Linked DNA regions of Oryzias latipes. The protein of the gene in region 6 purifies or fractionates together with the protein of the main gene of each other region. This does not show direct contact. Links are inferred from orthologs where the notes say so. Each region holds a gene or a part of one and is shown on either strand. Other genes may lie near its edges. The genes, in order: ripk1, interleukin-1 receptor-associated kinase 1, hsp90ab1, card11, ikbkg, map3k7 and ubl carboxyl-terminal hydrolase 18.

Evidence for each region.
Region 1: the proteins of map3k7 (region 6) and ripk1 purify together in Homo sapiens (affinity purification with western blotting; 5 studies listed by BioGRID, with this or other methods). This does not show direct contact. The link is inferred for Oryzias latipes from reciprocal best matches to the Homo sapiens genes MAP3K7 and RIPK1.
Region 2: the proteins of map3k7 (region 6) and interleukin-1 receptor-associated kinase 1 purify together in Homo sapiens (affinity purification with western blotting; 5 studies listed by BioGRID). This does not show direct contact. The link is inferred for Oryzias latipes from reciprocal best matches to the Homo sapiens genes MAP3K7 and IRAK1.
Region 3: the proteins of map3k7 (region 6) and hsp90ab1 purify together in Homo sapiens (affinity purification with mass spectrometry; 3 studies listed by BioGRID and IntAct, with this or other methods). This does not show direct contact. The link is inferred for Oryzias latipes from reciprocal best matches to the Homo sapiens genes MAP3K7 and HSP90AB1.
Region 4: the proteins of map3k7 (region 6) and card11 purify together in Homo sapiens (affinity purification with western blotting; 3 studies listed by BioGRID). This does not show direct contact. The link is inferred for Oryzias latipes from reciprocal best matches to the Homo sapiens genes MAP3K7 and CARD11.
Region 5: the proteins of map3k7 (region 6) and ikbkg purify together in Homo sapiens (affinity purification with western blotting; 8 studies listed by BioGRID and IntAct, with this or other methods). This does not show direct contact. The link is inferred for Oryzias latipes from reciprocal best matches to the Homo sapiens genes MAP3K7 and IKBKG.
Region 7: the proteins of map3k7 (region 6) and ubl carboxyl-terminal hydrolase 18 purify together in Homo sapiens (affinity purification with western blotting; 4 studies listed by BioGRID, with this or other methods). This does not show direct contact. The link is inferred for Oryzias latipes from reciprocal best matches to the Homo sapiens genes MAP3K7 and USP18.

The regions. Positions count from the first base shown.
Region 1 is NC_019875.2:26,469,443-26,472,576, forward strand, and holds part of ripk1 (receptor-interacting serine/threonine-protein kinase 1), read right to left. Parts: intron 3,014-3,134; coding exon 2,876-3,013; intron 2,797-2,875; coding exon 2,565-2,796; intron 2,449-2,564; coding exon 2,299-2,448; intron 342-2,298; coding exon 265-341; intron 120-264; coding exon 35-119; intron 1-34. UniProt on the Homo sapiens protein: Serine-threonine kinase which is a key regulator of TNF-mediated apoptosis, necroptosis and inflammatory pathways.
Region 2 is NC_019865.2:30,205,417-30,209,438, forward strand, and holds the start of interleukin-1 receptor-associated kinase 1, read left to right. Parts: upstream 1-1,222; 5' UTR 1,223-1,405; coding exon 1,406-1,517; intron 1,518-4,022.
Region 3 is NC_019882.2:5,881,900-5,886,144, forward strand, and holds the start of hsp90ab1 (heat shock protein HSP 90-beta), read left to right. Parts: upstream 1-1,445; coding exon 1,446-1,595; intron 1,596-1,676; coding exon 1,677-1,883; intron 1,884-1,986; coding exon 1,987-2,146; intron 2,147-2,234; coding exon 2,235-2,368; intron 2,369-2,449; coding exon 2,450-2,752; intron 2,753-2,822; coding exon 2,823-2,988; intron 2,989-3,068; coding exon 3,069-3,259; intron 3,260-3,448; coding exon 3,449-3,596; intron 3,597-3,675; coding exon 3,676-3,944; intron 3,945-4,031; exon of another isoform or gene 4,032-4,058; intron 4,059-4,245. UniProt on the Homo sapiens protein: Molecular chaperone that promotes the maturation, structural maintenance and proper regulation of specific target proteins involved for instance in cell cycle control and signal transduction. Undergoes a functional cycle linked to its ATPase activity.
Region 4 is NC_019866.2:18,997,846-19,001,345, forward strand, and holds part of card11 (caspase recruitment domain-containing protein 11), read right to left. Parts: intron 2,466-3,500; coding exon 2,222-2,465; intron 2,106-2,221; coding exon 2,030-2,105; intron 1,835-2,029; coding exon 1,739-1,834; intron 1,656-1,738; coding exon 1,538-1,655; intron 1-1,537. UniProt on the Homo sapiens protein: Adapter protein that plays a key role in adaptive immune response by transducing the activation of NF-kappa-B downstream of T-cell receptor (TCR) and B-cell receptor (BCR) engagement.
Region 5 is NC_019865.2:4,851,536-4,855,494, forward strand, and holds the start of ikbkg (NF-kappa-B essential modulator), read right to left. Parts: upstream 2,801-3,959; 5' UTR 2,451-2,800; intron 1,958-2,450; 5' UTR 1,956-1,957; coding exon 1,817-1,955; intron 244-1,816; coding exon 1-243. UniProt on the Homo sapiens protein: Regulatory subunit of the IKK core complex which phosphorylates inhibitors of NF-kappa-B thus leading to the dissociation of the inhibitor/NF-kappa-B complex and ultimately the degradation of the inhibitor.
Region 6 is NC_019882.2:20,585,333-20,588,832, forward strand, and holds part of map3k7 (mitogen-activated protein kinase kinase kinase 7), read right to left. Parts: intron 1,276-3,500; coding exon 1,137-1,275; intron 1-1,136. UniProt on the Homo sapiens protein: Serine/threonine kinase which acts as an essential component of the MAP kinase signal transduction pathway. Plays an important role in the cascades of cellular responses evoked by changes in the environment.
Region 7 is NC_019881.2:17,754,356-17,758,514, forward strand, and holds the start of ubl carboxyl-terminal hydrolase 18, read right to left. Parts: upstream 2,801-4,159; 5' UTR 2,121-2,800; coding exon 2,069-2,120; intron 1,561-2,068; coding exon 1,464-1,560; intron 1,221-1,463; coding exon 1,078-1,220; intron 1,009-1,077; coding exon 929-1,008; intron 852-928; coding exon 717-851; intron 1-716. Other genes in the region: pex26 (peroxisome assembly protein 26), read right to left, coding at 3,690-3,796, 3,899-4,039, 4,127-4,159. UniProt on the Homo sapiens protein: Interferon-induced ISG15-specific protease that plays a crucial role for maintaining a proper balance of ISG15-conjugated proteins in cells. Regulates protein ISGylation by efficiently cleaving ISG15 conjugates linked via isopeptide bonds.

The DNA.
Region 1 (3,134 bases), on a different chromosome or scaffold from region 6:
TCAAGGATTTGTTTGGAATAAAACTTAGACCAACCTTGCTCGTTTGTCAAAAAGCTGTCATGTCTCACAGACAGTAATTTCATCTTCTCAACAAGTGTCATTGGGCCCTCATAGTTTTCCTGCAAAAAGAAAAGAAAATACATTCATATATTTAACGCAGTAATTGCTTGTGATGATCTCCAAACTAAAAAAAAAAAAAAAACTAAATGTTAAAAATAAATTCTGTTCAAGCTAAACCTAAATGGTTGCTCTCAAAGGATTCACCTTCAGATCCTGTAAATCGTTCTCTATATGGGGTTCCAGATTTTTGGCATAAAAAGGACAGAAAATGTCGTAGGCTTCTGCAAAAAAAGATAAAAAGAAAAGTTAGAGTAATTGCGAGAAGTTACACTACTCACAATAAGTTAAGGATATTGTGAAAAACTCAGTGGATTACTCATAGGGACCAAAAGCAAACAATTCTAAAAGGAAAACCTTTTCAATGGGGCATCTATTTAAACAGAAAAAGCTGATTTTTGTCAGGAGGTCATTCAAACAGCCATGAACACATAGTGTCACTTAACAAACGAGCAGCGGCACCTGGCCATAGCGTGCATTCAGGTTAGTAGTCGGTGGTCAGATTTTGCAGGTGAGGTTGTCTCAAAGTGTCATCAGCAGACTACTGGCAGAGTTCAGGACAGACCCAGTGACAGACCGCAACCATGAGCAGAACCTAAGGACCTCTGACCTCCAACACGGTTTAGCAAACGCCGCACAGCTGCAAGCCCATTTACCAGATGTGATGGGGGGACTAGGGTTTCCAGACAAACCATTCCCAACCAGCTCCACCGCCTTGACTATAATACCTGCCTACTGTTGCAGGTGACTCTACTGACACCAAGACACCGCCGTGAACATTTGCAGTGCGAGACCATGTGACTTGGACAATCCAGCAATGGTCTGCTGCCCTGTTCACTCATGAGTGTCGGGTCACCTCACACAGAATTGCTGGTCGTCAGCGTTGCTGGAGAGGGTGAGGTGAGCGATACGCAGAGGTCGACATGATAGAGGAGCTGCATCAGTCTGTCTGAGCAAGCATCATTAGTCATTGCACGTAATTACCTCAAAACCATAGAGCTCACCATCATCCCCCAATTCTACCTGCAACCCCCCCAAATTTCTGTTCATGGCTGCTGGTGCTCCACCACATCGTGCCAGAATTGTCACAGTTCAACTTAAGGAAGTGGCAGGTCCTCATATGGGTTGTCCAGCAATGAGCCTCGACCTGAACCCCAACGCTCACATCTGGGACGATCGTATTCCACACCCAGTGACCTGGCAGAACTGGATGTAGCACTCGTAAAGGAGTGGAAGGCTTTTCCTCAGAACCGTATTATGAGGCTCGTGACGAGTCACTGTCAAGCTGTCATGGTGGAAATAGTTGATATTTGTTATTCTGGGCCATTGTTATTATGGTCTTAATTTGTGGTAATAAATATAAAACTAATGAAAATGGTATTATTATTATTATTAGTACCGTATTTTCCGGACTATAAGTCGCACTTTTTTTCATAGTTTGGCAAGGGGTGCGACTTATACGGCGCAGCGACTTATATTAGAAATAAATTGAAATAAATACATTGTTAACCCTCCTGTTATGTGCATTTGTGAGGAACAGAGATGATGTTCCTGGGTCAATTTGTTGTATGAGGTATGTTAAGTGTTAAGAGGATGTTAAGTGACTCAGAGAATCAGCAAACTTTTTTTTACAGTAAGATCTTGAAGGCTAACAACATAATATTCTATTTTCCAATGATTTCATAGATTCAGAAATGCAATAAAAGTAAAAACTGTTTCTACAAATACAGGATGAAAACAGAGTATTAGTTGGCCAATGATGCTTCATGAAAGGAATAAATAAATAAGTATGCATGAGAATAAATTACTGTGAAATTATTAGATAAACAGTCTGCTTTGATTGTGTCATATAAGGTTGTGAAAGTTAAAATGCGACTTATAGTCCAGTGCGACTTATCTGTGTTTTTTTCTACTTTATAATGCATTTTTGGGCTGGTGCGACTTATACTCCGGTGCGACTTATAGTCCGGAAAATACGGTAGTAGTAATATCATAGGGAACTTTTACATATTTCATCAAAATTGTGACGATATAGGAAAACAAGTCATGTTAGTAACAATATCCCAAACTTATTGTGAGTAGTGTCTTTCAAGAAGTCCGTCTATCCTTTTGGAGCCATAAAAAAACTAACTCCACTGTTTTAACAACTGCATGTTGCGTCTGTCACAAAGAGACGCGTGCCTTTAAATGAAGGTCGCTCCTCTGGATTGTCGCTCCAGCACCGCTTCATAAGCTGAACCACCTCTGAAGGTGTGTCTTCAGGAATGAGGTCCTCTGCCGGTCGGTCTCCGTCACGAACACACCGGCTTATTTGGTCTTCACTCCTCGCGTCTGCACAGAAACATTTTCGGTTGCTTGTTTTATAAAAAGGTGCAGCAGGGGACCCGCAACTTCAACGTTCATGCTGGAAAAAGCTTTTGAACGTGTGTACGGATCTCAAAGCTCACTGGCGTATGGCTCCTCCCCCGTTAGAATGACCCAGACTACGATTCCAAAACTGTAAACGTCGGACTTCTCAGTGGAGGGGGTGTGGATGCTCCTCAGGTGCTCCGGGGCCATGTAGCTTAGCGTGCCGGCACCTCTAGCCCCGGATGTCTGTCCACTACGGCTTTTCCTGCGAGATTCCTCCTTTGTGAGTTTGCTCCATGTTTGGCAGGTGGCCAGGCCGAGGTCTGCAATCTAAAAAGAAATATTTAGTGTCTGGAAATGAATGAATTAATAAGCTAGGCGTTATTATGACTTAAGTTTTTTTCATTACCTTGATGTGAAAATCCTTATCCACTAAGATGTTTTCTGGCTTGATGTCCTTGTGAATGACACGTTTCTCTGTAAGGTATATCATCCCTTCCAGAACCTCGAGGATGATTCTGCCTTTGATGGAAATGGGCACCTTGACCTAAGAAGACGGAGCGCTGAGTGAACCAGGTTTATTGGGTTTCAGAATCATTTAAGTAAACTAAGCCTGCACAATAAATCAAACATTTGCCATTATTGCAATATCAGAAAATGCAATTATG
Region 2 (4,022 bases), on a different chromosome or scaffold from region 6:
GCTTTTGGTGGCATCTAAGTAGCTTTTATGTAATATACATTTATATATATTTATACATATATATAAATACATAATATATTATACATAATATATGTATGTATACATCATTTGTTACTGTTAAATAAGAGAAACAGTCAACCTTAAAACCTCAAACTTTAATGAAAAATGCACAGTTGCAGAACTTCTTGAAGTAAAGAAATTATTACAAATAATTTCTAAAAATAATTTTAGGCATTTAGAAGTTTTAGACCTCTTTGACATGTAATTTAAATTATTTAGAAAGGCCCAACAATAATTCGATAAGAACAACAATAATAATAATAATAGATCATAATAAATCAATAGTGAGTCAATAAAAATAATACATAATAGCAATAAGTAAATAATAAGTCAATTAATAATAATAATAAATCAATAATAAGCAAATAACTAATAATGATAATAATAATAAATCAATAATAAGTCAATAAATAATAATAATAAATAAAATAAATAAATAGTACATCAACAAAAAGTCCAAAAGTTAACAATAGATTTACCCTAAAAGAAAAGAAAAACCAAAGACAAAAAATAGATTTACTGATTTATGTGAGTGATGAACTTGTGTAACACAGATGGTATGGTGTCTGGTTTCAAGCAAACAGTCTGGCCTCTCATCAAAATGTGTTTCCACAAAATGTTTTGAACATATCCAGACTGTATTGTTAGTTGGTACCACAGTGATCCATCTGGGTTAGCTCTTTTGATAGCTATTAAGGTCCACTTTCCCTTAAGTCTGAATTCATTGGAAACCTGCAAGAAAAGTTCAGTCACTGAGTCAGAAATGTATAAATCTATGTTACTATAATAGAATACTCCTAGTATACTGTATACAGGTTTAACACAATAAAGTTTAAATTTATGTCAACAGAAAATTATACGTACATTATGCAGCATGTTGATAACAGCCCTGCAGCATCATGCATGTCAACATGTGTACTATTAATGAAGCCCCTGCAGCATTAAAAGGAAAAAATTATAGTCCTTACCTGTGAAATGTTATGCCTTCCTCCTTCACTCATTTCTCCGATTTTGTCAGTTGAAACCCGCACAATGAACTGGTATGTTGCAAAAACTGTGTTCACATGCTTGCACTGCAGCAGTGACTTGACCTCACCAAGATGGCGATGCTCTCCTCCCATGAGGAATCACGTGATGTCTCCTCTAGCGATAAAAGTCATTGGATATAACTCATTGACAGACAAAAGCCCTGCGACCGGAAGTTCACTGAATCAGAACTTCTGAACTGAAGGGAAACTTGGGTGTGTTCCGGGCGGCACCGGCACCGATGCAACCCACGTGGCTGTGGTTCTGGCGTAACTTTTTTACCCACCATCCCCAAGAACCGAGCTCAGTGGAATAAAACATGTCGGGAGGGTCACTGCGGGGGGAGTTCCTCCACAAACTGCCCTCCTCTGTATTATGGGAGTTCTGCCGGCTCATGGACGGGCTGTCGGACCTCGACTGGACCCGCTTTGGTGAGTCAGAACCAGAATTTAAACTTTGTGCTTATTTGTTAACAGTTAAGGGCGCCACAGGTGGGCTTCACGTAACACGCGTACTGCTGTTGTCACGTGACTGACTTGGGACGTCGTCAGGTGTTCCTCACGTAATGTTTCTTCAAAACGGTGAATGTACAGCAGGATTCCGTGTTTACATTGATGTCTAAAAAAACGAGACGCCCTCGCAGTTGTTTGTTGTTGTTTCTGGTCGTCGCGCTCATTTCAGGAAGTCAGACACGTGACACGCAGCAGGCGCGTGCGACCCAGTCCTAAAAAAAACCAACGCCAACAGTATCACCATCATTCCCTGTTCGCCCCCAGACCAAACCTCTGTCTCTGGAACATCAATGTACCTTCAAAAGGTTTTTTGGAGTAACATTACTACAATCTGGAAGCTGCTGGGGGGGGATACACAAACACACCCTATACCTGAAGGAATGAAATACCACACAAAAACTGAAACTGTTAATGAGAATTAAATGTAGCCTGTGGAGGTGGAATCATACTGAAAAATAAAGTGGAAAACCTCTACAGGCTGATCCAACTTCAATTTGAAACAAGTCAAAATGCGTCTCAGTAGTGGGTGTGACCTCCACTTATCCGTATGAATCGGAGGATGGTCTCCCAGGGGATCTTCTCCCACATCTGGACCAAATCTTCCACCAACTCCTGGGCCGGCTGTGGAGCAACCTGGCGTTGGTGGATGGACGGAGACGTGATGTTCCAGTTGGATTCAGGTCTGGGGAACGGGCGAGCCAGTCCATTTCTTCAGCACCTCCGTCTAGCACAAGGGGGCTCATTAGGACGATCCATCACGAAGGATGTCATGGTAGATTGAGGGCCATCAAAAAAATTATATGTTGTGAAATATGTATTTTTTAGTAATTATTCGTAATTATCCGCATCGTAAACTTGATTGACAAGCAGAACATCCAATCGAACCTCCTCTTCACTGCACACAACTGTTTAAACACACTGAGCGCCAGACGCAAGGAGAAAGTGGGCGTGTGTGTTAGCCTGGTGACAGCTCAGACTCTTCCTGGAAGGGGCTGTTCTTCACTTTGTAACATCGCAAGGAGAGAATTGTTTTTGTGGATTGTCAGGGGCTGGTGCTCAGAGAGCAGGTTTTGAGAGGAATACAGTAAACCCTTGTTATTCGCGTGGGTTACGTTCCAAAAAGAACCCGTGATAGGCAAAATCCGTGAAGTAGAAACCTTTATATTTTTTTTACAATTATTATACAATTAAATACTCTATTATACATTGAAAAGAAAGAACAAACCATTTTACAGGCTCAAGCATTTGTGTCACAAATAAAAGTACTTTAGAAACGTGAAACCGTGAAAAGTAAACCGCATACCGCATTAGCGAGGGATCACTGTACTCATAAATGCATGAATTGATCAAAATACCACTTTTTTTTCGTGAGGAACAAACATTATAATAAACTAAAAAGCTCAAAAAATTATATAGCATGATATAGGCCCGTTAATGACACCCAAACGACAGAAGAAAGAAGCTAAAAGTCGACAAAAATACACAGAATTAACAACCTGTTTAATGCATTACATGAGGCAATCCACAAAAAGTGTATTCAAGACGAACAGCAATTGTTTTGAGCTGATCCCTGTGTTGTTTTGGGGTCTGCTATAAATCTATTATCTGCACAGAAATATATACTCCATATATATATATGCGACTCCACCTTGGGGCCGTCCAGCATCAGAAACAGAACCCCTCTGGGAAAACACTAGAACTCTTTCATCAACTCTGCAATCACTGCTTTCAGTTTCTCACAGTAGACTGGACTGAGTTTTTTGTTATCTCCCTGTTTTTACATGCTTTACATTATTTAGGGAGTTTTTTGTTACTGCAGGAACTATCCTGTTTTATTGTGTTGAGACGAAAAAAGATCAGTTTTTTGTGCCAACCCGTTGGAGGGCGTCATTACTACTGTACACCACATCAGAGGAGGGACAAGGCAGGCAGACGCCACTCTACAGTGGAAACGATGTCGCCACAATGATGTAAACAAACCTCTAAAACTCTAAATTGAGACTGTAAACTTAGGACTGATAGTGAGAAATGAGAAAACCAACATTTAAAATACAAACAGCAGCGATTACAAATTCTTTTTTTTACAGTTTTAGGTTGATAGTTTTTTCAGTGTTTCTTCACTTTTGAAATAATTTTTTTTTTCAAATATACAATGCATTTTTCAAAATTTCAATATTTATTTATTTATTTTAACTTTTTATTTTACGTTTTGCACTTTTAAAATACAACCAAGTAACAATAAGAAACCACAATCAAGTAAAGTAAAAAATAAAAGATAAAAATAACTAATAATAATAAAATGCACAAAAACAAAATACCAAAGGTTGAACAAGTGGGGTCCAACAAAACATAGTTTTGAGTTTTAAGTTCTGAGCGGGATGAATATTGCTTCCATTTCCTCCATTGGAGTTGACATTTTTCAGC
Region 3 (4,245 bases), about 15 Mb from region 6:
TTCGGTATTCTTCCATGTGATTACAAAGACCTAGAGTGTTCGTTGATTCCGTAAAAAATACAGCGTGCTTTTAATTTTTGACATCCAGATATAGAGATTCTATACAAATACTTTTTTTTTTCAACAAAATTTTGACACATTTTTAGAATTTAGACAATTACTAAACGGAAGCTCGTAGATGTAGTTTTTGCTGTATCTTAAATAACCGCTAGATGGCAGCAAAAATCAAATACGATTGATTTTATTCTTAGTTTTGTTTTTAATATAATAAATTTATAACGTTTAGATTTTACCTCCTTGGCCAATCAAAATATTGTGCATGCTATTCCACTATAACTTTTTATCTGTTGATATAAATAATTACATATTTTTCTGGAGGAGCACAGTTAGTTCGAGAAGGAGCGCCGCGGAGGGATCTTGTCCTGCACTGAAACTCATGAGCATATAGATTCGGCGTGCAGCTCCAGAATCCTCCTTTCTTTTTCCTGCGTCAGTGAGCGGCAGGGATAGCACTTTTGTTGCATTTTATTCAAGAAAAGCCAACATAAGAAACAAGGTATGTCTTGGTAATTCACTTCATATTGAGGGAAACCAAACTTTAAATGGTTTATTATTATTCTACACCGAATGTTGAGTCATTTAACGGGTTTTTTTGTTATTTGATTTCGATTCACGTGGTTTGTTTAACCTTGATTCATCGATTAAAAGCATTTCTGACATAGCGGGTTTACTATTCTTAATTAGTAATGGGCTTTAGGTTAAATCTTGTACTAGTGACCGAAAATAAGTGGTGGGCTTTTGCCGCATCTTGTAGGCAGACAGAAGGTATGGAGATTTATTATTGTGAAGGTTGGTTGTACCTGACTGTTTAAAGAATAACATTACCATAGTTTAACGAGCGATTGACGTGTCTTTGTGTATATTTTGCCAACGAAGGATTCTAGATGGACTACTAGTTTAGAATCTTACACCCAGAGTGTGTACATCATGTACATCTTGCATAACCGACACAGGAGTGCTCGTGGTTTTTCGGGGTGATGGTAGTTTTGGGGGCTATTTTTTTGCAGTAAAGCTCCTGAGCGATAATCCAAAATCGTTCGATCTTGATATTCACGGAAGCTTCGGGTTTTTTCGGTTTTAGTCGGCACGTGCTTGCAGCGTCCATTGTCCATGCCTCGCCGCCATGTTTCGCTGCACTTCCGCCCGTATGTTGTAATCTGATGGCAGGGATCCGACTCTGAACCGGTTTCTGAATTGTGGTAGTTTATGGTTTAAAATTATTCATTAAAAAAAATTAAACTAAAAACTACAATCTTAGTAAAATAATTGGCAGTTTATTACCGTATTTTGCGTATTTGTAAGATGTTGTGCTTTTATTTTGGCGTTTCCTGTTGGTTCATCCCATTATTAGTCTGACGCTGTTTGTTGCAAACCTGTTATTTCTTATGCAGATGCCTGAAGAAATGCACCAAGAGGAGGAGGCTGAGACCTTTGCCTTCCAGGCAGAGATTGCTCAGCTGATGTCCCTGATCATCAACACCTTTTATTCCAACAAAGAGATCTTCCTCAGGGAGCTGATCTCCAATGCCTCTGATGTAAGTCTGCAGCAGTTTACGTAACATCGTATCACCTCTGTGTCAATACAGTGAAATATCTTGACGCTGAATTATTTTTAGGCTCTGGACAAAATCCGCTATGAAAGCTTAACTGATCCCTCCAAGCTGGACAGCGGCAAGGATCTGAAAATCGACATCATCCCCAACAAGGCTGACCGCACCTTGACCATTGTTGACACTGGAATTGGCATGACCAAGGCTGACCTTATCAACAACCTGGGTACCATTGCAAAGTCTGGGACAAAGGCTTTCATGGAAGCCCTTCAGGTATTAATATAAACAGGCATAAAGGGGAAAAATACATATACACATTTATATATTTTTTTAGCAGAAGTGAATACAAATTGTGGAACTTTGCCGTTTTCTTCAGGCTGGAGCCGACATCTCCATGATTGGTCAGTTCGGTGTGGGATTTTACTCTGCCTACCTCGTCGCTGAGAGGGTGGTGGTTATCACCAAGCACAACGACGATGAACAGTACGCCTGGGAGTCCTCTGCTGGGGGATCCTTTACCGTCAAGGTCGACAGTGGTATGGATCTTCAAATATTATAATTATGGTGCAACAAACTAAAATCTGACTGTGAAACATTTGTTAACCTCTACAACACTGTTCTCAGGCGAGCCCATTGGCCGTGGAACAAAGATCATCCTGCACCTTAAAGAAGACCAAACGGAGTACATTGAGGAGAAGAGGGTCAAAGAGATCGTGAAGAAGCATTCTCAGTTCATCGGCTACCCCATCACCCTCTTTGTAAGTGATTTGTTTGTTTTTTTACAAACATATTTCTCACTAATAGAAGCTTATGTGGAGTTGTACGTGGTTTATCTATAGGTGGAGAAAGAACGTGACAAGGAGATCAGTGATGATGAGGCAGAGGAGGAAAAAGAAGAGAAGGAGACCAAGGAGGAAGGTGAGGACAAGCCAAAGATTGAGGATGTGGGCTCAGATGATGAAGAAGACGCTAAAGACAAGGGCAAGAAGAAGAAGAAGATCAAGGAGAAGTACATTGACCAGGAAGAGCTGAATAAGACCAAGCCCATCTGGACCAGAAACCCTGATGACATCACGAGTGAGGAGTACGGCGAGTTCTACAAGAGCCTCACAAACGACTGGGAGGATCACCTCGCTGTGAAGGTAAAATAGAGGTTTGGGTGTCTTCTGATCGGCTGATGGAACCTCGTGCTGACGTGTGTTTCTCTTTTAGCACTTTTCAGTGGAAGGTCAGCTGGAATTCAGGGCTCTGCTCTTTGTTCCTCGTCGTGCACCTTTTGACCTCTTTGAGAACAAGAAGAAGAAGAACAACATCAAGCTGTACGTCAGGAGAGTCTTCATCATGGACAACTGTGAAGAGCTCATCCCAGAGTACCTGAGTAAGTTTTAAATCTCTGTTCCACCGGATCTGAAAGGAAATGCACAGCAGCTTTAAAACGTTTTTGTTTGTTTACAACAGACTTCATCCGTGGAGTGGTGGACTCTGAAGACCTGCCCCTCAACATTTCAAGAGAAATGCTGCAGCAGAGCAAGATCTTGAAAGTAATCCGCAAAAACATTGTCAAGAAGTGCCTGGAGCTGTTCGGAGAGCTGGCAGAAGACAAAGAAAACTACAAGAAATTCTATGAAGGTTTCTCAAAGAACATCAAGGTATCTCAAACATATCTGAAGCTTTTCTAAATGATGCCTATAAACTGATGGATTTTTTTTTTCCTGTAAACTTTTAAGGTGTGAAAATAAATCGACACATATTTAGCGTGAAGCCTTGGAATTGGGCAACGCTTGCTGCATTACCCAGAATTTAGTTGAGTAAATCGATCACAACTTTTATGTTCACAGCTCGGCATCCATGAGGATTCTCAGAACCGTAAGAAGCTGTCTGAGCTGCTGCGCTACCACAGCTCCCAGTCTGGAGATGAAATGACTTCCCTCACAGAGTACCTTTCTCGCATGAAGGAGAACCAGAAATCCATTTACTACATCACTGGTAGGTTTGGCTTCCAGTCCATATGTTCTTTTGTTGATTCTTTTGGCACGACTTAAGTTTTTGTTTTTTGCCTCTGAAGGTGAAAGCAAGGACCAGGTTGCCAACTCTGCTTTCGTGGAGCGCGTCCGCAAGCGTGGCTTCGAGGTCCTGTACATGACCGAGCCCATCGACGAGTACTGTGTTCAGCAGCTGAAGGAGTTTGATGGCAAGAACCTGGTTTCTGTCACCAAAGAGGGCTTGGAGCTGCCAGAGGATGAGGAGGAAAAGAAGAAGATGGAGGATGACAAGGCCAAGTTTGAGAACCTCTGCAAGCTCATGAAAGAGATTCTGGACAAGAAAGTAGAGAAGGTTGGTCTCAAATAAGAAACTGTGCTTTTGCTCCTCATTTCTTCACCATCATTTCCTTAACTTCAGTGGTGTTTTGTTTGGAAACAGGTTTCCTAGTGGTAACTACTTATATTGGTGAGTTCATACAGAGTAGAAGTGGCCTGTAGAGTTTCTAGCGTTGCCTGATATTTGAGTTGAAAGGGTTTGGTTTTGCAAGAGCCTGATAAGTCTGACAGCGACGTGAGTTCTAACAATGTTTGTCTTTTGAGGCTGTGTCTAACACTCGATGAAATCAGCATCACACAAACGGCCTGAACCGCAT
Region 4 (3,500 bases), on a different chromosome or scaffold from region 6:
TTGGTTTCATTTGTTATAACTTGAGGTTTTATTTTTTTCATACATTTTGCTCTTTTGTTATTTCGTTTGGTAATCAAAGCAATGGTAAAGACATTACAGTCTACCAGTAAATGTAATTTTTTTAACATTTCAAACACTCTTGCTCTGTTTACTTCAAAAGACATTTTTGCTTTGCTTTCATCTTATTCTTCAAACAGCTTTCTTCTACCTCCACCGAGACTTCAACCCCCTTCTAGCTCTCACATTTTATTTTTAGAAATCTTTCATTTTCTATGTGTGATCCTCTGGTTTTTTAGAGCACAAGTCTTAACTCCCACACAAACAAAGCTTTCATTTTTTCTTTGTCATCTAAAACTTTTTCTGCCTCCTGGAGAGATCCATCTATTTTTCACTAATTTGATAAGAGTTTTTCTCCTTTGTCTTTCTAATGAATTCATCAGCCTACAGAGCATCAGCCATGAATTAATAAAACAATAACACAGCTTAACAAAAGCTTAACATAAATATTTCTAGTCAGCCTTCAGAAAAATGTTATATGGTAGATGTAAGTAATACTGATGTTACAAAATAAAAACAGATTTTCTGAGAACTTTAATCAAACTAGGAAGTGGCTACTTCTGCAGTTCCTCAAAGAACCACCAGAGGCAGGTTTCAAAACCTTCCAGTAAACCACTGTGTTAAATAAGGTTCAGAGCAGAATAACACACAAAAAATACACTTGTGCTCTGCCTGGTCAAAAAACACTTCTTAATATTTGGTGCTTTTATTTGCAGCTCTAGGGGCAGCAGGGAGGGAGGGGATTATCTTTCAATTATAAGAAATCAAGGCAGATTGGGTGATTGGGTGAAGGTTGCAGTCTTGGGTGGCCTAAAAAAAACAGAATCTCTATGGTCTTTCTTGATTGACAGTTCTCCAATTGTTGAGTGAATAGGAGTTACTCTGTATGTTCATGCCACTTTTTTAGCCCTTGTGCTATCCTAGGCACTTTAACATTGGAAGTTGGGTCATCTAGACCCCTGAACTTTTTTCTTCAATGATTTGTAAACTTCACTGGTGTCCATGGATTACATGAAATCCTCTTCACCGTTATCCACCTTTGTCATGGTAGGGAGAACACGTCAATGTAAGGGTGGGGTCATAGGATAGCACAAGGGTTAGGCATTCATGTTCATCATTTAGAATCCTACAGGTAACATCAGAGACAATTGGTTCCGTTAATATATGAATTAGTCTATAAATACAACATAGTTGCCACCTTAAAATAAATTATTAAAGAAATCTTGACCATCAAACAGTAAGAAGAAGAATATATTTATTTCCCTTTAAGCTTCTCTCAGTTTGACATAAATATCTGAATATCTGAATTTATGCTAGGCTTTGTGGTTCCAGACTTTTGATTTTGATTTTTTTATGTCCTAGTAGGTCCTAAACAGGAATGCAATGATTTATCTGAGAATCGTGGCATCCCTAGTCCTAAAATCAAACCAAGGTCCGTCATTCCCCTTACATCCATGAAAAGCATTGTTTCTATGCTCACCTTCAGGCCTGAGCATCTCCAGTTCTTGTCTTGGTAGTAATGAGCTGCCAGAGTTGACAATCCTCACGCGTTCATTGCTGTTCATTCGTTTGTATTTGATGTCCACCCTGCCGACGAACTAGAAACCCAAGAAACCCACAAGAAATGGCACATCAGGGCTCAGATTGACTCATGAGAGTGGGATTGGTTTTCTTTAAATACCTGCAGAATCTGACTGAGGAAAATGCTCGCTCTGGACAAGCGTGGACTGGCTTTGGGATCGAGAGACGAGCTTGTTTCTTCTGGCGCTAAAGTGTTCTAGACAAACATAAAGAATTAATAGAAAGAATATCAGAATCTTTAAGCTGCAAAAGGTAAAGAAGACACAGTGTTTGACCCAAATCGAAGCTAACTTACTAAGTGTCTGCTGAAATCAAATAGCATTGATATGAAAAACTATACAATTGTTTTGTGTAATATGTAGCTTGAATATAAAATCAAGTTTTCACTTACTCTGCTATTGTCAATTTCTTCTTTCCCACTTCGACACACCAACTTTTGAATCTTCACCAGCAGCAGCTGCTGTGCTCTGTACACACCCATTCATACCAAGAGAAAAGTCTTAACAAAACCAAAACTCCTTTTGTCCATTATAAAACATCCTCCTGCATGAGAAAGAACATTAAACAAACAGTTGCAAAGTACCTTGAGTTGCTGGGAATGGTGCCACGCTCGGCCAGGTCAGAGCCACTAAATGGCTCCACACGAGCACAAAGCCACTGGCAGAGGCCCTGGTGCCTGGTATCCAGCACGTGCACAACTTCATCGCAGCGCACGCTTAAAGAGCAGCAGTCGGATTGTCCGGAGATGTTGAGGTTTACTCGGATGTAGAAAGAGTCGCCAGAAGCTAATTTACCATCTGCTAGATCCCTCTGGAGACGGCGATATGCTGGAGAGCAGAAACACAGCATTAACGCACTTTTAAAACAAGACAGACCAGAAGACTAGATTTGACTGGAAGTTCAGAAAAAAATAAATGGTTTGATTTGCTTTCACACTAAAGTTTAGAAAACTGAATAAGTCTAGATGGAATCAAAATATCACGCAGTTTAAGTTAAACTATACATCCTATTAAAGTATTTTTTAAACCCATTTCCTGTCTATATTATCCTCATCCACAAACTAGCCATTTATCCAACTGTAGTGATCCACACTCCTTCATATCTTAGCTGTGGATCATTTTATTTTCGCCTAAAATTTGAAGCCACTTTTGTGATTTCAATAAGTTTACTTCCTCTCTTTAACCCACAGAACAGTCCATTGTATCTTTACTGTGGTGACCACATCAGGGTTCACTTGCAAATTAACAGAGATCCGTATTTCCTGTTTTCTGTGACACAGTTCAAAGATGCACTCCGATCATCTTTTGATCTATTTTCCAACTGTTCCCAGTGGTCTTTTCATTTTGATTATGCCACTTTTAGCCAAAAACAAAAAACTTGTCTTGTTTTCTAGGACATAATTCTGCAAACATTAGAAATTTACCATTGCGTTGTGGGCAGGAAAAATGGCATGGAGCAACCCCGCCCCCTTCCCTTCCCCATTACTGAGAGCTCTCTGTTTACATGCGCTCCTGCTAGCTTACAGCCCCAACATAACATTACCGGTGCAACAAAAATGGTAAGCAGTATTGGAGCTATGCAGCCGTACAGTTTTGAGCCAGATTCCAGCTCAGACAAGGAAAACAAAGACAAACATGTAAGTGATTGTCTACAAGTGGATGCATCAGAACGAAGCTTATGACCCATCCAGCATATTTTCTACGACACAAATAGGCTCTGCTCATTTTCATCTGCCCCCTATTGACATAAAATTGAAAAAAGAAATACTCAGAAATGCCATTTTAAGCTTATTTTATATATATATATATATACACACATACACATACATACATATGTGTATATATGATGATAAGAGAAATGCC
Region 5 (3,959 bases), on a different chromosome or scaffold from region 6:
CCGGGCGTCCCTGCAGGTCTTCAGTCTGACTTGAGCTGCAGGACAGACCGGAAGACGGGGAGGAGCCTGGTCCGTTCGCCGTGACCTTCAGCGAGTGGTTTTCCTGCGCCAGCCTCTCCACGAGGGCCCTGGCCTCCTGGAAGCGACAGCTCAAAAACTCTCGCTCGTCTCTGGTTCTTTGCTGCCATCCCTCCATCTCTTCACAGCGCAGGCGGAGAGCTTGGTTGCTTCTCCGCAGTGCCTCTGGAGGAGCAAACATAAAGTACGACTTTCGTCTTTCGGTCTCACACAGAAGTTTATCCAAACTTTGCTGCCCTGACTCTGTTCTTATGCTGTGATACTATTCACAGATAGAAGAGACAGCATTTACCACATCTGAATGTGTATTTACATCTGCTAGACATGAAACCAACTTCCTGTGTGCGTTCAGGGCAGCTTGAAGTATCCGTCACTCCATTTTAACCAAAAATATCCTTTAAAGACCCACTCCGATCATCTTTTGATCTATTTTTAAACACGTTCTCAGTGGTCTTTTTGATATAATGCGGCCACTTTTAGCCATAATCTAAAAAGACTGCCATTTTCAAGGACATAATTCCTGCAGAGTGGCAGCGATTCATCAAAAATTGACCTCTGAGTTGTGGGCGGGACTGTTGACGTGGAGTAAGCCTGCCCCAACTTCCCGTCACTCACCTGTTTACCCGTTTTCCTGCTAGCTTACAGCCCCTCACACCCCCAACCTAACACTACCGGAGTGACAAAAATGCTGAGAAATATTGGAGCTATCCATCCGTCCAGTTTAGATCCAGATTCCAGCTCAGACGAGGAAAACAAAGACGCACATGGATCTATTTGTCTGCAAGTGGATGCATCAGAATGGAGCGGAGCAGGAAGTTTGTGGCCCGCCAATCATATTTTCTACATCACAAATAAGCTCTTTGTCAAACAGCATTTCACCACACACTCCTGATTCACAACAATTTGAATAAAGAAATACCCTGCAAGCTAAATTTTCTAAGACATCTGAGAAGATGATAAAAAAAAAAAAAAAAAAAAAAATTTTTAATTTTCATCAGAGTGGGTCTATAAATCAATCAAACTTTAATTATAAAGCACTTTTCATATAAAAGTATAACACAAAGTGATTTACATTAAAACAAAACAAAATAAATAACATAAAACAACAATTAACATAAAAAGAAAAATAATAATAAAAAAGAAGTATGAAGACAATATGTTGGAAACGCTAATAATTGGAACCTCCCTTTCTGTGAACAGCCGCATAACCAGCCAAATGCAGCATCACAGGCGGGGACCGCTCCACCACAGCTAAGCAGTGATGCAGGTTCCCATCCAGAGCCGCAGTGGCTGAAGAGCAGCCGATCCAGAGGGAGAGGTCCAAACTATGAAGGAGCTAAATAATTAATTATTTCTGTTTTTCTGATTTTTTTCCGTTTACAAAACAGGCAAATATGGTAAATAACTAAAATAGTGTAAAAGATGGTTAAACCACATATAGATTTGTTTTGAATTAAGCTTCTCTTATTTTCTGCTTTTACGTGTATAAAATATGTCAGTTAAAAAGCTGAGTTAACTAAAGCAGAAACTAAAATATATATACCACAATGTTTTAAGAAGTCAGCCTCTGATTATAAGCGAGCTCCACCCCGCCGGACCTAAAATGTATTTAACTTTAAAAAAAAAAAAAAATATGTTCCTGTCATGGATGAGAAATTGAAAAGAAAAGAAAGCGTAAACAGGGTCAGATGAAGAATCCTCGTTAAAAGTTGTGTGAGCGAAGCCGTGGGTGCGATACCTCTGAGCTGCTGGTTGTCACACAGTAATCTGGACACCACCTCATGACCAGCAAGCTCCGGTGGGACCCTGAGGGCCCCGCCACTGTCCTCCCCTGACATGTCCCACTGCATGGGGCCGTCGGGCTGCGGCTGGACCATTCCTGCAGGATTACAGTGGATTATCATCACACACCTGTCAAAGTCAACATCCAGTCCGTAAGCGTGGAAACAGGTTTGAGCCCTGACATGTGCACCAGGACCAGACTTTCACTTTCATTTTGATTCTTTTACTCATTTTTGTTGAAAATATGAAGCAGATCTGCTCCTTAAAGGCTTCAGCCTCTCTGCTAAAAAAAAAAAAAAAAAAACATGTGGACGTCATCCATGAACATGACTGCAGGTAAGGAAAACATTACGTCATCGTCATCACACCTTAGGCCGGGATAAAAGACACATTGGGTTTAAAATAGCTTTAAAAATGAAAGTAAAGAGAACGCAGTTGGATTTTAACAGAAAAAATAAATAAAATCAACGACCTAATTCCAAACTAGACTGATGTTTTTTTGGTTTTTGGACATCCGTGACTGTCTCTGAACAGTTTGGACGCATACATACTAGTTTATTTTAACAAAACAAGGACAGGATCTCTCTTACCTTAACTTCTTTTTCCCTTTGTTGTCCAGAATAACACACATCCAGAGTTTTTACAGTCCCCCCCTCAAACCTGCGCCAGGAAGGAAGCTCGACGAGTCCAGAAGCACTATTTTGGCTAATTTTTAGCTAGCTAGGCTAATGCGGCAGTGAAGGGCTGGGAAAGCGGCCTCGCTCCTCGGCTGTCATAAACACAGCTTCACGCTGGCAGACTATCGAACCTTAAAGGCACATTCTGTGTGGATGTAGGAGGCCTTTTCTTCCTTTGCTTCACGTTCGCTACGGGGTTTTCGTCCGAGCCGAGGCGACTGTTGTTAGCTCGGAAAATTCCTCGAATATTTTAACCCTGAGTTTTGCCTTTCAGGTGTCGGTTCTCCGGTTTGTAGATCTGAAAGGGGAACGGTTTGAGTATCTTATTTTAAGCACGAACAAGTGTGTAAAGTTTTCCTGCTGAATTAGGTTTTATAAATATAAGATTTTCTACTTTATTTTAATTGATAAAGCTTGCAAATATATTACAGTGAAATATAAAAAAATAATAAAACAGTGAAAGTTGAGTGGGATCACAAAACATTGCAAACTCAGCAAAGTCAAAGTCAGGTTTAGGGGGGGGGGGTGATGATACCAAAAAAAAAGAAAAAGCAGAAAAATCAAAGAAGAAGCAAATTGCAGAAACTGCAACACTTGTTCAAGTATCAGGGATGACTGGTTGACACACACAAAGAAACAGACACTTGATGAAAGAAACTGCTTGAATAAATCAATGCAATAAACATCCTAAAACTTCAATAATGAAGGGAACCAGACAACAGAACAGATAAAATGAAGAGGGTCTGCCACGAATCGACAACGGGATTAAAAACTTGAACCTGGAGCGCTTTGGACCCATGACTGAGACAATAATTTGATAGTATGCACTTTGAAAAAGCCCCAATTAGTAAAAATAGCCAATTTTTAAAATCAATACTAATGTTTTTCTGTTCTCACATGAGCTGCCGCCTCTGACCTGCACCAAAAGCCAGCCGTGTGCTAATGACACATGGGGAGTAACACAAACACAACAATGTGGGGATCCAGCTCATGTTCCCACAGGATTCAGTTCTTTAGGAAAACTGGATTTAAATGGATTCATCTAGATAGGGAGTGGGCAGTCGGGAGGGTTGAGGGCACTCTATGTTTTATAATTTCAGTTTTAATTGTTTGAAGTCAGAAAAGCACTTTGTGTTACTCTAGTAGGAAAAGTGCTGTATACAGAATGTTAAATTTGATGTTGAAAACAAAATAATCAGAATTTGCATCTGTTTATACAATATTGTATTATTTAACATGTTAGCTTGCAGCAGCACACCGTACATTAGCAGTTTGAACTGAAGAGACAGCCATAAAGAAGTGTTTACATCTTGGAGGAATTTTAAAAAAAAATTGGGCACCAAAATTAGGCCGCGTCAAAAGTTGCCTGTCAGGTAAAGCGCAGGGAATCTAAATTCCGGAAGATCCCCTTTCCTTCTTCCG
Region 6 (3,500 bases):
ATCAGTCACTCCTCCTAAAAAGATTGCAATGGATTATCAAAGACGGGATCACTGGGATTATCTGAATCAGCAGTGGTGACTCTGGATTAGAAACACTGGCTTTCTAATCATTTTTAAAGGTCCACCAACATTCAGCCTAGGTAATTTATTTGTAGTACCAAGTTTATTCAGAAGTAGTACTTTTATACTCTACAGCAGGGCTGGATGGTGTGACGATACTTTGTCTAGTCAATAGAAAATATTGATCACTTAGATGACTGTCTGACACTTACGACACAGGTGCTTAACAGAAATATTTTAGAAGACTCCTGATGACAGCAGACGTGTTTCGGACCAGAAGAAATGACCCGTCTAACCCAACGAGGACCTACCTAAAAAAAGGGTCAAATTCTGTTGCCATTATAAGGCCCATGCCTTTGTTTGATCCCTATCTGAGGTAAAAAAAAAAAAAAGCCCCCCTGCACCCCACCCCACCCATGAGGAGCACTATGCCAGACACATGTCAATGAGTTGATGTCATCGTCTGGACCAACAAGTGAAATTTTCTTCTTTTTAGAATAAAAATTAGAATAAATATTCTAATAGTGGTGTGTTTACATTTTTATGTCCCCTGTACAATTAAAGGAAAACAAAACCAGATTTTCTAGAGGGGGTGCACATTGCAGAAAAACAAACCCCTTTTAATACTGATTCAAAGTGACTTGCAGAGACCAAATTCTCAACATTTTCTTATTAAATATTGCTCGGTCAGCCGTAGTCTGAAGAGAACAATAAAAGAAAACGGACAACTACTGGCATTTTTGGCATCATCTCACTGAGAGTAAAGATATTCAACGTCTACAGCGGCTGTCTGATACAACACTCCTTACTTTGTGATCTGTGTTGGAATAATTAGGAATTTTTAAAACTCTTTTGATACTTGAAACCAATAAAATTCCAGCATTTTAAGGATAGGAAGCAGATAAACTGAAGTTTTATTCCAGTCGTAAAAATCTGTAAATTTTGGTGCTGAATTCTAGTGAAAGGTCATGATGAGGTGTAATGAGAAAACATACAAAACAGTGGAGTACAGTGAGGTACAGCAGGAGACGGGGGAGTGTGTGACGCGAGGAAGAGCAAGAGGAGGAGGAGCGTACTTTGGTGGCTTGAGGTCCCTGTGAATGAGAGCCTTTGGTTTCATGCCATGGAGATAGGCCACGCCCTGGGAGCACTGTAAACACCAACTCATGGCATGGGAGGCAGTGTAACAGGGGAGGGGTTCAGCACCATGCAGCACTGTGGACAAGAAACACAGTCACCACACCGGGTACACACAGCAGGAGTCCAGCAGAACCAGGCTGGGTCAAAGGTCACCACAGACTTTTGCAAACGTTCCTCACAATTCGACCAAAATGCATCAAAAGCCTCGTTTCCACCGAGCACGGTCAGGTCCGGTAAGGAGTGGTATTGTACCGTCCAGTTAATTCTGGTGAGTGTTTCCACCTCACTTCCACTGATCGGTTTGTTTTCACGGCGCATGCGTGGTGCAGACTGCTAGCATGTCATTGCAGCACGAGGACTAGAAAAGCAACAACAATTCCTCAAGCTCACCCGTTCAGTTTCCCCAAGAGGTACGGTTCAGTACTGTTTAGTGGGTCCAGTTTACAACGGAAAAGCTCAAAATACCGGACCGGACTTTTCAGTGGAGACGAGGCAAAACATTTGATCAGCAGAGCAGCTCAGAGCTTTTATCCCACTTCAGAGCGTTTAAAGGACTGCTTAGTGAAACATGAAATACTTTCACGAGCAAACTCCTTCAAAGTGATCCTCTCTGACTGCTGGTGTGTGAGAGCAGAATCTAAACCAATCAGCATCAGTTTACTGCAACTTAGACCACAGAGACATGGACATTTCAGGTCTTTGCTCTGTTTGTTTGCATGTTTGGCACACAAAAAAACAACACAAAACACAGTTATAAAAATGAAGGCGATATTAAAACAATTTCCATTATCTAAATCCTCTAACCTATATTTGAAAAGCAGTAAAAAAAAACTTCTCAGATAAAAACACAAAACTATTATGTTCAGCAGGCCCTTTCTAAAACTGAAAAGAAAAAAAAAAACTACCGTAATTTCCGGACTACAAGCCGCTTCTTTTTTCCTGCGCTTACAGCCCTGCGGCTTATTCAGTGACGCGACTAATTTATGGATTTAATTAGCGGCAGCCATGTACGTACTTTCGAACTCAGTGAATAGTTTGAATTCTTTGTCTAACACCAAGCACAAGGCATTTATATTCAACACACCTCTAAGCAGCCAAACAGCATGGAGTTGACTTCAGGTCTTAGACACTTCAGTCATGGTTCAACAAAATGAAACACGCATGCCCGGCCGCATCCCAGAATCCTTTGGTGCCATTAGACCCAACGTGCACCAGATCGCCGCTACAATATGATGAAGCTTTCAAGTTAAAAGCAATCGTTAAAAGCAGCGTGAAAAAGTCCACCGTCACCAACGGGTTTGGAAAAGCCGGTTTGCTGCGTGACGGAGAGAACAGCGCATGGAGTGAATTTACACTCCATTTACGGTTTCTAAGGAAACCGTAAAAGCGGAATTTTGCTTTGAAAAACTCACAGCCTCCGTGTGAGCTGGAGACATCTTCTCCTGCTGATTGAGCTGCGGGGCCGATGGCAGTCTGATGGCTCCCACACGTAACAACGCATCCGCCCCCCATACACAAAACGTATAGTATTAAGTCCGATTGCTTTGCACAGAAACTATTTGCTCCATCCACCGGCGCAACGGGGATGAAGTGCTCCTCCCTGAAGCCGCCCTGGCCAGAGGTGTCGGAGTAGATAGGAAGGGGAGACAAGGAGCGCGCGGGGCGGGAGCGGAGCGCAGAGGCTTCTGAATTCTGACGCACGCGCCGCACTGAGGCGCGCGTATCGCGCTGAGGCGCGCGCTTTTCAGTCGCCGCTGCTGTATTTTACCGGTGTGTTTTTTAACCAGCCCTGTTACTCCCATAACGCTGCTGCGACACAAGCGGAAGGAGAGCTTTTCCCGTTCACCCCTCCATGCACTGCTGATACTTGCTCATTCTTAAACACGTACAACAGAATGGCGAGCCGGGCATTGGCCCCGCCTTTAGCCCCTAAGACTCATGGGAAATGTGGAATCGCGGATGTAAATTTCCTCATCATAACTGAGGGATGTAATGTTGATTATATGGTTACTGTTTGTAATTTTATGTATGATACGTAGATTGTCAATAAGTAAAAAAAAAATGAAATAAAAACACCATAACTGAGGAACTTGTGAACAGAATAGAGGTCCATGCTGTTTGGCAGATGTCGATACACTCAAATACATGAGCCAGAGGCTAAGTTGGCACCACCCCCAATGTGCTAATGAATTGCACTCACTCTGGGATGCTGTCCGTGATCGGTCAGGATGACAATATCGCCTAACATTTGCGCGGCTTGTACTCTGACGCGGCTTGTGTATGCATAAAACGAATTAAAC
Region 7 (4,159 bases), on a different chromosome or scaffold from region 6:
TTCTGCATCCACTTAATTTCTTTTGGGGTCACTGGAGCCAACCAAGCCACTGTTGGTTGAAAGTGGGGTACACCCTGAGCAGGTCTTCAGTCTGCTGCAGGGCCATGCAATCCATCAATTTAGAGATACCAATTAACCTATGAAGCATGTTTTCCGAGCATGGGAGTAAAACAGAGTCTGGAGGAAAAAATAAATAAATAAAATCAAACATGCATAGAGAACAGTCCCTTTTTTAAGTTTTCTTTGTCTTTTATTTTACTCTTTTTTTTGGTTTTTTTGTTTGTTTTTGGTTTCCAATCTGTTCATTTGTTTCCTTTCATGAAGAGTACCATAGTACATTAACATATTTATACACAAACATAACTACACACACATCTTCATGACAGGAAAGGAGCAGTCGGAAGAATAAAATCCTAATTTTATTTCTCCCCTAAATCAAATATTCAATTGAACAGAAGCTAAAGAAAATGTTGTGGGTTTTATTTTGTCATTAGGTGTGGATTTTTGAGAGCCATCACAGTTGATGGGGGGCAGTCACAGCAGGATTTAGGAGGGCTCTTTTTTCCCATCCCTATTACCGGTCTTGACAGGGAAAACATGCAAACTCCACACAGAGAGGTATCAAGGGCCTTGAAGTGCTAACCACTACACCACTGTGCATCCTGGATTTTAAAAAATGTGGAATTTAAAAGGTCTGAGGAACAATTTGACCCCACCAGAGTGTTGTGATCTTCTTTTATGTGTAGCGGCAGGCTGAGCTGGTAGCTTTCCAGGGTTTTGATGGAGTTGCACTGCAGACACTGCAGATGGGTCTCCACTGAAATCTTGTACAAATCCTGGATTTCTAAAGCCTGGGGATCAAAAGAGCAACCAGTAAAGAAGAAATAGCACAACTTTAAAAGTGATGAGCAGGGTGTTAAAGACCAACCAGATGTCTGTCATCTATCTGCTGCTGCATCAGGTTCAGAATGGAGAGGAAAACCTCGTCAGCATCGTGCTGTGTGTCAACTGTAAATCAATTGTGTTACAAGCTGTCGTCAATAATCTCACTTTGAGATGTGGTGTGGAGGCCTTTACGTCTAATGCAGTATCTATCCAGACAGTGGAGGAAGTCCCGATGTGGAGCAGATTGAGTGAGGTCGCCCCGCATCGCCGTGAGAACTTTCTTCAGCTCCAGGGGAATGCTCCGACTGTCAGATCTCACAACAGCTGGTTCCAACCTTGTGAAATTCACAAGCCCTAATTTATCTGTTTGTTTGTTTTTTTAGCACCTAAGAAACAAAGACTTGTTTCCAGGTGGACACCACTGCATTTTTCAAATATTTGAGCAGGTTTTATGAGGTCAAACAGTCCCACAAACCAATACGTGGGAACCGAAACGTCTTATGAGATGTAAAACCTTCATTTTTCAAACAATGCTTGAGGTATTAGTATTTCACATGGATGGTAACTACTTTACTTACCTTTCTAGAAGTTCTAGTAGTTCCCAGGTTGCAGAGAAGGTCTGCAGCAAAGTGTTTACACAACAGGACAAATGGTAGTTGGCAAGGCCTCTCATTCCTTAAAAAATGGAACAGCAAAAATTAAACATGATAGTTTATAAAAAATGTTATAAAATATAATATAAAAAAGAATTTCTTATCACACAGGATGAAGGTTTAGTGATTGCAGTAAAAAGGTCCCCAAAAAAACCTAATGAGTAAATTTCTACTTTTCTTCAGATTTTCTTTTATTAGTTTCAGGTTGTTTTTTATTTTATTTTAGTTTCATTTAAAAAGCAGTATACCTGAGGTATATTTTATTAAGTATACGTGATTATAGCATGTATACACTATGTACATGTAGTGTAGGAAGTATACTAACTGAATACTTCTTCAGACCATATATAAAACAATATATGTATATTATAAAAAGTAATGTAGTAAAATCAGCCTTTTTGGTGTAATTTGAGCGCAAATTATAATTTTATTTTTTAAAGTTGCTTATTTGTTTAATCCTAAATAAAAATTCAACTACTTTGTTTATGAAAAGAAAAAGAAAAACTTCGTTGACAACAAATGTAACTTACTGAGCTGAGTGTTCCACAGCGTTGGAAAAATCCTCCAAATCCCATAAGACATTGCGTTTTAAACGAAGTCGAGTAGTTTAACCCGGCGTCGGGTTATTTTGGTAGAATAAATCTTTCTTGTCGAGTTTTTCCGTGATATTGACGTTTCTGCTGGAGTCAAAGCACTGTCAGCTGAGTCTTCATCACATCATCATCCTCGGCATCGCTTTCGTTTAACCCGCCTCTGCGCGTAAAACGAAACTTAACAGCTCCATTTATAAAGTAAGCAAATTTGTAAAACGTGGCATATATCCTATAGGAAGGTCTATAACCACAAATCAGCTGTTAAGTGTTCTGCATCCTGTTAAGAGACATATAAGTTAAAAAAAATAAAAAAAGATGGGATTTACTGCACATGCGCAGATAAAATCGAACTTTATTTATAAAAAAAACTCGTTTTAAACATTGCGTATCTCTAAGCACTTAATATTGTTGCTTTAGGTATATTTCCATTTAAAACTGTTGGAACAGCAAAAAATATTGCCCCGTGACTTCACTAAAGAACGCCTTTTTTTAATTTAACATTACAAAATAAATATTTTTTTATGAAATTTTCTGATCCTCCCAGGATTTGCTTTTATAAATCAAAACATCACACTTTCACTGTCATTTTCACCTAAGGGACCCACTCTGATGAAAATGGTGCTTTTGAAGTTTTTGTTCTTGATGCATTTTTCTGATAACAGAGTATAAATAACGAAAATTAAGCTCAAAATTGTATTTCTGAGTATTTCTTTAATTAAATTGTGAATCTGCAGTTGACAACAAAATTCAGTTTGAAAAAGATCGTATAACATTGAAAATATGATGGGCAGGCTACAAGATCCCTGCCTGATGCATTCACTTGCAGACAAATATAATCCATGCAAGTCTTCGTTTTCCTTGTCCAAGCTGGTATCTGGCTCAGAGCCCATTAATGTTAGGTTGGAGGTGTCCTTACCACTTGGGTGTGAGGAGCTGTTAGCTAGTGGGAGAGCATGTAAACATATGGATGATGGGAAATGGGGGTAGGCTTGCATCCAAAAAGTCCTTCAAACAACTCAGAGGCTTGAACTACTACCACCTTTTTACTTTGGCTAAAAATGGCAAAAATAATTACGGGGGGGGGGGGGGGGGGGGGGGGGGCTTTGAAAATAGATCAAAAGATGATTGGAGTGGGTCCTTAAAAATAATGGACACAAGAAAATAATTGTTAATAGTTTATTTATGGCTACAATTTTAGAGGTATAAAGATTTTATTAAAAATATAACACCTAAAAGGTAATCAGTGCTCTGCAATATATTATAGCTATTGTTTTTTCAAAATTCTACATTTTAACATAAATACAGTCTACCTCCTGTTCACCTCCCTGGGTTTTACTTCAAGATTCTAACTAAATGATCAATGGATCTCTTTTAAATAAGCTGTTGACTAATAATCAAGCAATAGAATCTATAACTGCTCGTTTGTAAAGCACTTCTATAAAATCATTATTTTTAATTTATAAACGAAATTAAACAAATGTTAGAGACACAGAATTAAAGTAAAGACCTTCCATTAAACACAATCAAATTAGATCAATTCAACTAAATGTTTCCACAATTATTCTTTTTGACTGAGAGTCTGATAATAAGGTCCAAACATGGTTCTCCACATCTGTTTAAAGAGCTGACAAAGTTTGGAAATCCACATAAATGAGGACGGCGCAGCTGTAAAAAAAAATAAAAACAAGAAAGGCATTCATTTATTTCCAATCAACAGGGTATAAAAAAGTCAACAGTAACATACTGAGGAGGAAGAGTTTCTCAAACCTGGATCCAGTCTGCTGAAGAGCATGTAGAGGATAACAGCTATCAGGAAAAGTCTCCGGAGAGGGAATAAGCCAGAACCGGCTGTCAAGATTTTTCTGTATAAAAACCTGAGCATAGCTTCGAGTTTATGGATTATAGCATCTGCAAACCACAATTAGGAAGATCTAGTCATTATTTCTGCACAAGAAATTGAGCACAATGCACATTGATATGACTGAAATGTCAAACCTTTAACTGAGTTAGGATGCGCAGAAATCTCAG